2 linked regions of the Oryctolagus cuniculus genome follow. The protein of the gene in region 2 purifies or fractionates together with the protein of the main gene of each other region. This does not show direct contact. Links are inferred from orthologs where the notes say so. Each region holds a gene or a part of one and is shown on either strand. Other genes may lie near its edges. The genes, in order: CDK7 and GTF2H5.

Region 1 (4,487 bases), on a different chromosome or scaffold from region 2:
TGGCCTTGTAAACTGTGGCAAACTGGAAAGAGAAACAGGGAGAACTGAGTCCCGGGCGCTTGCTGCTCGCGCCAGCGGGGAGCCCGCGGGCCCCGCGGCCTGCACCGCGCTCGGCAGCCCCGTCCCTCTCCAGCGCGCTCCGCCGGGAAGCAGCGGGGGGCTCCCGGGTGGGGGTCCAACCTCCAGGGCACAAAACGGGGCGGCAGCTGTGTCCGGGCGGCCTCCCCACGGAGAGCGAGCGGCCAAGGCCCTCGGGCGTCCATGGAAAACCCTGCAAGGCTGTGCGCGCGCTGCTCTCCATCCCGCCCGAGAGCCTCACCTGGCCCTCCCCGAGGAAGTCCAGTTTCTCATAACGCTTAGCTCGAGACTTCACGTCCACAGCCATCCGGGAACCGAAGTCCGACTCCAGCCAAAAGAGGCAGGCGCCCCAGACAGCTGGAATTTAAAGCTGCCTTAAAGCCTCCAACAGCCCCTTCCGCTCACTGGGCTCCGACGCTTGAGGCTCCGCCCCTACTTCCGGGGTGGGCGGAGCAGCTGTTAAAAGAGTCCGGGCAAAGCCCGTCCGGACCAAAGCCGCTCAGGGCCGGGGTCGCGCCCGTCACGTGACCGCCGCGGATGCCGGAAGTGCGGCCCTTTGGGCAGCCGCTGTGTTGCTGTTTTATCGCTTCAATTTGGGTGTTGTCCTCGCAGTCGGGGACGAGTGGGCGTCCTGATGTGTTCCGCGTTCGGAATTTTCTAGGGCTGTGCGTGTGCGGATAGTTTGTGACCGCGTGCTGGTTGCTGCTCTAGGCTTTCCGGCGTCACGGTTGCTGTGGACGCCAGAACCCGCGACCTCTGCCGCGTTCTGAGGCCGAGTCGGGAGCAGGTGCACTCCCCTTAGGGAGGAGCAGGCCTAGGGAGGCAGAATCCCACTCGCCTGAGCGGAGATGGCTCGGGTACTTGAGTTCCTACCAGCGAGGTTGCATTCCAGCTGGTGGCTCTGGCCTGGCCGCTGCCATTGAGATCTGGGGAGTGAACCAGCAGACGGGCTTGCCCGTTCTGCTTCACAGATGAAGAGTGATTTTAAGTATTTTTTAGAAAGAGGACCCTGTTAGAAAATTAGTGCAACAATCCAGATGACTCTGCTTGCTTTCTACCCAATAGCATTTACGGACAGGCTGGATACGGGTTGGAGGGGGAAAGAATGATTCCAAGATCTGAGTGGAGCAGCCTGCACCACGGAAATGTTTCCTCCATTGCATCTGACGCTTCTGAGAGCCGAAATCCCGATTTCAGAGACGTGTTGAAGATGGCAGGATGCCAAGGCCAAAAACAGTGCAGTTCGTGTAATACAGCAAGTCAGCATTAGCTCCGGCATCAGACCGCCTGTAGCGGAATACCTGCCCGCCAGTATGCAATCACGAGATGGAGGACCGGGCCAAACCACCTACTACGCGTACCTAGTTTATTTCCGGCAGCTAGGTCTTGGTTGACGATAGCCATTACTGTTCTTTTTCGGTGCTTTGTCACTACCTGGCTCTAGGCAAGATTTGTACATTGCAGGAAGTGCACCGGATTTACCACTTTTCTTGGGGCAAGTCCTACCTAGAGAGGCGTGCTGTCGTGTGACTTCTGCCAGCGTTCCTTCCGAAAGACATACTTTGGTAATTTTACCTCCTTGTAGAGCTAATGAGCTAAATACGATAGTTTTACCTTTGAGGCTTGAGGTTCTCAAGTGTGCCATGTCCTACAAGTTGATACTCCATACCTTGTACCGTGCTGCTGACGATGGGTTAGCTGATACCCTGGCAATGAGGTCTGTAAATATTGAGCTTTTGCTGCACCTCACGGAGTTTATAGATCTGTTATTAGTCAAAGATGGCCATGACGACCTTGCCTTCTGCTATGGATGCCCTTGTGTCGTCCTCCCACAATGAGACAAGCTGTTCTGTACCAGTGGAACACGGCACAGCGGTGGAAGTGGGAGCAGCCATTGCTGCCTGCACGCCTGCATCATTACTACAGGGAAAGTCAGTCGTGTCAGTCCACACGCACAGCCTTCCTACACGGAGAGGAACTCCTGCCAACAACAGCCAGCATCACTTGCCACGTGAGTGGTCTACCCTGGAGATGGGACTGTCAGCTGCAGCCAAGCCTTCAGATGACTGCAGCCCCAGTAACTGAGCCATAAGGGCTTACTGTTTCCAGCCACTAAATTCTCAGGTTACAGATAATATTCTAATTTGATCCTATACTGTAGAATACTAGAGAGGAAAACTGAAACACAAATTAACCAATTTGCTGATGGTTAATTATACAAAGATTCTTCAAAAATTTCATGGATATCATTAAAAAAAACTATGCAGAATTAAAAAAAAAATCTTTTCATCAAAATAAACATTTTTGTCTAAAGATTTATTTGAAAGAGTTAGAGAGGTAGAGAGAGAGGTCTTCCATGTGCTGGTTCACCCCCCAAATAGCCACCAGTGGGCCAGAGCTGAGCAGATCCAAATCCAGGAGCCAGGAGCTTCTTCTAGGGTCTTCCACATGGGTGCAGGGGCCCAAGCGCTTGGGCCATCCTCTGCCGCCCTCCCAGGCACATTAGCAGGGAGCTGGATCAAAGTGGAGCAGCTAGGACTTGAACTAGTGTCCATATGGGATGCCGGCACTGCAGGCAGCAGCTTTAACCTGCTATGCCACAGCGCTGGCACCAAAATAAACATCTTTTAACTATTTTTCTTTGAACTTTCTGGAATACCCTTGTGTGAGTGCTTAACCCCTAATGGAAACAGACGTCCTGACTCAGCCTTGCCAGAATTCTGTCTACAACACTGTCCTTGGAGCTCATCCTGTGACAGCCATTCCCACTGACATGCTTTTGCCTAGCTATACTTGTGAATTATAAAAAAAAATTCTTTCATCAAAATAAACATTTTTGTCTAAAGATTTATTTGAAAGAGAGGTAGAGAGAGAGGTCTCCCATGTGCTGGTTCACCCCCCAGATTATACAAGTGATTTTTTTCATTTTGATCTTCGTGGCAAGAACTGTAGTAAGGACTGCCCTCAGATTCTTTTTTTTTTTTTTTTTTTTGACAGGCAGAGTGGACAGTGAGAGAGAGGCAGAGAGAAAGGTCTTCCTTTGCCTCCAATGGCCGCCACGGGTGCAGGGCCCAAGCACTTGGGCCATCCTCCACTGCACTCCCTGGCCACAGCAGAGAGCTGGCCTGGAAGAGGGGCAACCGGGACAGAACCGGCGCCCCAACCGGGACTAGAACCTCGTGTGCCGGCGCCGCTAGGCGGAGGAGTAGCCTAGTGAGCCGCGGCGCCTGCCAGCCCTCAGATTCTTAATTCCAGAATTAGGGTTTCTAATGGCACCCACAGTATTACTCTAACCGCTCTCCATTACCTGAAATCCCTTTTCTGGAAGCAAAAAATGGCCCTGGGCTTCTTGGGAGAAAAGTAAGAAAGAGCAAAAGACTAGTATGAGTAGACTGCTAGCATCCAACCCAAATTCCTATCTCTCGTTTGTGTTGGGGAACATTTACATGGGACTACAACACAGAATTTACAAGAGAAGCAGATGAACTGGAGCAGCAGATGTAAGAGTAACCCACAGGTAGCTGGGTGAAGAATTCTGGGGCCGGCTGGTGCAGCGGATTAGGGTGACATCTGTAGTGTTGGCATCCCAAAGGAATGCTGGTTCAAGTCCTGGCTGCTCCACTTCCCATTCAGCTCCTTGCTAGTGCGCCTGGGAAAGCAGCAGACGATGGCCCAATGCTTGGGCCCCTGCACTCACGTGGGAGACCTGGATGAAGCTCCTGGGTCCTGACTTCAGATCAGCTCAGCTACAGCCACTGCAGCCATTTGGGGAGTGGACCATCGGATGGAGGATCTCTCTCTGTGTGTCTCCCTCTAGTTCTGACTTTCAAGTAAAATAAATAAATCTTACCAAAAAAAAAGGAAACATGAACTCAACACTTCTACTGTCTATCGCTCATGAGCTACCACCCTCACTATCAGGATGACTTCTTTAAGCACGTTCTGGAAATCATTAAGATATGGAAGAGAATTTATTTAGCTTTGTGAGGTTTTATTTTCATAATATACATACCGTTGGCATAGGATGATCCTGTTAAAGTTTGATAAATTGCCTTAATAAAGTAAATTATTTAAGGTGAATATATGAGGTTTTAAGACATAAATTTGAGGAAGTTAATGATTACCAGGATTTGCACACATGATCACAAAGTGGTAAACCAAACAATGACTTTATCTCCCAGAATATAATAAACTACAATCTGTAGTGAAAATTATTCCTATATTCGTATCCTTATTTCATACTCTGAAATTTTTTCTGAATATAGGTTACAAATAATCTTTTGTCTTATTTACCCATTCTAATACCATGGACATCTGTTTTTATCTTGGGTATATTTTTATCATTTGGAGTAGGATATACTTATTAATAAGCCAGTTATACTTTAGTAACCTTATGACTGAAAAAATGT
Region 2 (4,440 bases):
TCTCGACTTCCTCACCTCATTTCCCCTTTTCGAAGCACAGTGGTCTCCCCTTACTCGCAGTTTCTGTGTTTATCTGCAGTCAAATGTGGTCCAAACATAGTAAAAGGGAAACTCCAGAGACAAGCACTGTTCTTAGCAGTGTGATGAAGTCTCTCACGGCCGTGCTCGGTCCTGCTGGATGTGCTACCCGCCCCTCAGTCTTCTCAGCGACCTCGGCTGTCAGAGCACTGCTGTGCTGAGGCGCCCTGGTTTTACTCAGTAATTGTCCCAAATGCAAGAGCAGGGAGTGTGCAAATCGGGTAAAGCAGAGAGAAGCTGTAAAATGCTTTCTTCAAGTGAAGTGGTGAAAATTCTCCACTTAATAAGCACAGGGAAAAAAACAGTGTGGTGTTGCTTCGACCTATGATGAGAGTCAATCCTCCACTCATGAAATCGTGTTGGTAGAAGAAGTTCCTGTTACTTTTACTCTCCCATCTCAAACTGCAAGTTATCACCACAGTGCATCCTAAGTGCTTAGGTAAGAACGGGAAGGCATTACATTTACGGTTGGGTATCACCTGCGGTGGAAGGCATCCGCGGAGGGGCTGGAAGAGTATTCTCCAGGGAGGAGCGGGGGACAAACACACTCCAATCTGGCACCTTTCCCACCACGCCACCGAAACAGCTCTTACCAAAGATCGACTGCATCTCATCTAGTCTGTCTTCACATCATCCACCTTTCACCACTCCTGCTTACAGCCCATTCACCTCCGTGCAACATTTTCTCCCTTAGCTTCTGCACTCTTTGCCGGGTCACCTATGCCGAAACTCCAGATCTGTACTAACCATAAGGCAGCCCACAAGTCACACTCACTAGAGCAACTGAAATAGGGCCGGTCTGTGAGATATGTTGGAAAAGCACAATACACACCGGACTTTAAAGACTGTTTTTTGGGGCTGGTGCTGTGGTGTAGTGGGTAAAGCCACACCTGCAGTGCTGGCATCCCTTGTGGGTGCCAGTTTGAATCCTGACAGCTCCACTTCCGATCCAGCTCTCTGCTATGGCCTGGGGAAGCAGTGGAAGATGGTCCAAGTCCTTGGGCCCCTGCACCCAGGTGGAAGACCTGGAAGAAGCTCCTGGCTTCAGGTCGGCTCAGCTCAGGCCAATACGGTCATTTTGGGAGAGAACCAGTGGATGGAAGATCTCTCTCTTTCTGCCTCTCTGTAACTCTGCCTTTCAAATGCATTCGTTTTGTTGTTGTTGTTGTTATTTTGAAAACTCAGTACAAGCTGAAAGAATATTTTCAATATGTTGGGGTTAAATAAAATGTTCATTTTACCCATTTAATTTTACTTTCAGAAGTGGCTACTAAAAAATTCAAGATTACATATGTGGCTTGCATTCTGTTCCTATTGGAGGGTGCCGCTCGAATCTGACGGCTGTTGTCCTCGCCCCTTCCCCAGGCTGGCTCACCGTCACGGGATACATAGCAGCATCTGTGCGATGGCCATCTCAGGGGCACACAGAGGTGCGCAGGCCAGAGTTCCTTCATGGGACAGAACTACTGGTGGGTGAGCCAGCAAGTGGACAAGGAGCAAGACTGATTCTGGAGTGCAGATTTTGGAGACTGGGCAATCGCCGAGCCCTCTAGATTACACTGCTTTGCCAAATTCAACCTTGGCCGGGATGGTCTCCGGTTTCTCTGGCATGTGTGCAAAGGAGTTCAAGAAACCCTAACGGGCCCTGTCTTTCTCCTTAAAGGTCAGTTTGTAATGAAGGCAACGGAGCTCCTGCCATCTTACAGGCCTTGTAACTCTGTCACCTTCTGATGGCTGGAAGAGATTACGAGTAACCTTTCCCTCCAGGACTAGGCCGATCAATTCTGATCAAAAATCGCTGGAAATGATGCCAATTACACTAATGCAACGGAGACACTGAATTCTGTCCCCTCCCCCCCACACTCTGGAAGAAATTTAGCGACAAAACGTTTCACTTTTTGAAAGTGTAGAAAATGGAAAGACTTGATTGCATTCCGGCCTTAGAAAAGAAAACGAAAAAGGGACTTGACCTCAGAAAAGGTCAGATGAGTTTGAGTCAATACGTAAATGAGGTATCAAAACTACTAACCATTCTATGAGCACTCCTTTCAAGACGTTGACCATCTTTGTCCAGCCGGAAGGGGCAGAGGATCTCAACCAAGCTAATAAAAAAGGACAAGGTGGACATGTCATTCAACAGCATCGACCGGAACAAGGCAAGCCACTCCCCGTCAGTATAAACAGCGAAGTCTATCAGAGACGAAGCTAACACAAAGGAGACATGCAGCCATTCTGAGCTTCTCACAAAACGGAGTCTGTCCGGAGCTGTCCACCACGCACACATACACCTGCGGCCGAACCCCACAGCCGCGCCGCGCCCCGGTACTCCGGCTCCCCACCCGGGGGCTTGACAAGGCTAAGGTCCCGGAGGGCGGGGGAGAGGGGGCCGCAAGACCTACAGGGCGCCCAGCCTCTTCATTTCGGACCTGAGACAGGGCGAGGACCCTAAGCCGCCGTTCTTCCCGGACCGGACCGGACCGGGAGGTCGGGGGTGGGGGGACACAGCCACACTGCGGGCTCCCTCCCCGGGTAAACCGCGTCCCCCAGGCTCCGCGCTCCGAGCTCCAGGCGCGGCGGGCGCCCCCTGACCCCTCCAACCGCTACCCCGGGGCCCAGGGCACGGACACCCAGCGCCGCGTCAGAGCGGGGCGCACTCTGGCGCCCCAGCACCTGCAGGACAGACTTTCCGATCTTTCTCCTCCCTCTCTTTCCGGGAACGCCCGGTCTCCCACGCACCTCACCCCGCCGGCTTGCCCCGAGCTCGCCACGCACCGCAGCCCACAGACCCGGCGGCCCCCAGATGCCCCGCAGCGCGCGCGCGCGTCTGCCCTGTGACGTCATCGCGCCGGGGACGCTCTGTGGGAGGAGCGCGCCGCTGGGAGGCGGGGCGCGCGCTGGGCCGCGTGGGCGGGGCCACAGGCCGGCCGCCGCCGAGTGGAGGGCCGGGGGCAGGCCGCGCCGGGAGGGTGGGCTCTCCGGCGCCGGGATTCCCGGTGAGCGGTCGGGGGGCGGGCCGTGTCCGCGAGCCGGCAGGTAGGAGGACTGGGGGGCCGGGCTCGTGAGGGCGGACGCGGGCGGCGGCGCGTGGGAGCACGGTGACGGGGCGCCCCAGCGAGGTCGCGCGGCGTGAGGGGCTCTCTCCGGTCCTCGGGGGCCGGAGTGTCCTCTGGCGTCGGCTGCCCAGCTCGGGGGGCGCCGCGCGGGGCTGCCCGCGTGCAGCCGGGCGTGGAGCCTCGGTCACGGCGGAGGGGGAGCCCGCGGAGATCCCGCCGGTGCCGACCCGGCCCGGGAGCGCGCGCGCTCTGAGGAGGTGCGGGCGCCTTGCGTTGAGTTGCACCTGCCGGGTGAAGTTCGTGCGGATTTTTGCCCGTTCCCCGCGTGGGCTCTTGTGGTCCAGCTGCGATCCCCGAGTCTTCACGTGCCTTGCGTCCCGGGGCGCTCGTTCCTGGCGAGTGCCCTTGGCTCTCTCTGCCTTGCGCTCCGCGTGGGCGGTGTGCCGGGGATTCGGGGTGCTGGCCCGATGCCCGCGCCGGGGGACCCGTTTGTAACGTGCACTCCACCGCTCAGACGGAGCTGCTCATCCTCCGCCCGCCCCCTCCCGTTAAAAACCTGCTTTTCCTTCCCGTGTCTCTCCAAGTCACCCAGTTTTAAAATCTGCATCCGCTGGATCAGCGAGCACTGTTGTGCACCTGATAGGTGCCAAACCGTGTTCTAGACGTTTGCGGTCTATTGGTGAAGGTACAGAGGGCCGCAAAAATGTTAAGGACAAAATGCCAGGTGGTGACGCGGTAGGGATTGCATGGAGAGTGTCAGAAATGGCCTTTAGGTAGGTTTCTGAATTAAAAAAAAAAAAAAAAAAAAAAAAAAAAAACTGATACCAGCAAAATACTAGCAATTTTAATAATAGTAAAATAATCCGTAACTTCCAAGACTAAACATTATCTGGAAGTTAGTGAAACTAAAGCATTAGTTCCTTTAGGGAGAAAATGATAATGCTTTATTGAAACACATGGAAGACTTGAGTGACGGAGAGATACATCATATTCATGATCAGAAGGCTCGATACCAAATAGAAATCGGCTTTCCCCAGGGCTGTAAATTCAGTGCAATGCCAGTTAAAATCACTGTATTGGGTTCTCATGAAACCCGACATGCCAGACTTCAAAATTTATATAAAAAGGCAAAGGACCAAGAATAGCTAAGTCAATCTTGAAGAAGAAAAAAGCTGAAGTTCTTTTTTGCGAGGTATCAAAGCATAAAATAAAACCGTAATCATTAAGACAGGGTGGTGCCGGCGCCACGGCTCACTAGGCTAATCCTCCGCCTGCGGCACCGGCACACCGGGTTCTAGTCCCGGTCGGG

Evidence for each region.
Region 1: the proteins of GTF2H5 (region 2) and CDK7 purify together in Homo sapiens (affinity purification with mass spectrometry; 7 studies listed by BioGRID and IntAct, with this or other methods). This does not show direct contact. The link is inferred for Oryctolagus cuniculus from reciprocal best matches to the Homo sapiens genes GTF2H5 and CDK7.

What each region holds. Positions count from the first base shown.
Region 1 is NC_091445.1:90,220,709-90,225,195, reverse strand, and holds the start of CDK7 (cyclin-dependent kinase 7), read right to left. Parts: upstream 3,062-4,487; 5' UTR 386-3,061; coding exon 320-385; intron 23-319; coding exon 1-22. UniProt on the Homo sapiens protein: Serine/threonine kinase involved in cell cycle control and in RNA polymerase II-mediated RNA transcription. Cyclin-dependent kinases (CDKs) are activated by the binding to a cyclin and mediate the progression through the cell cycle.
Region 2 is NC_091436.1:9,584,847-9,589,286, forward strand, and holds the start of GTF2H5 (general transcription factor IIH subunit 5), read right to left. Parts: upstream 2,958-4,440; 5' UTR 2,815-2,957; intron 2,181-2,814; 5' UTR 2,143-2,180; coding exon 2,108-2,142; intron 1-2,107. UniProt on the Homo sapiens protein: Component of the general transcription and DNA repair factor IIH (TFIIH) core complex, which is involved in general and transcription-coupled nucleotide excision repair (NER) of damaged DNA and, when complexed to CAK, in RNA transcription by RNA polymerase II.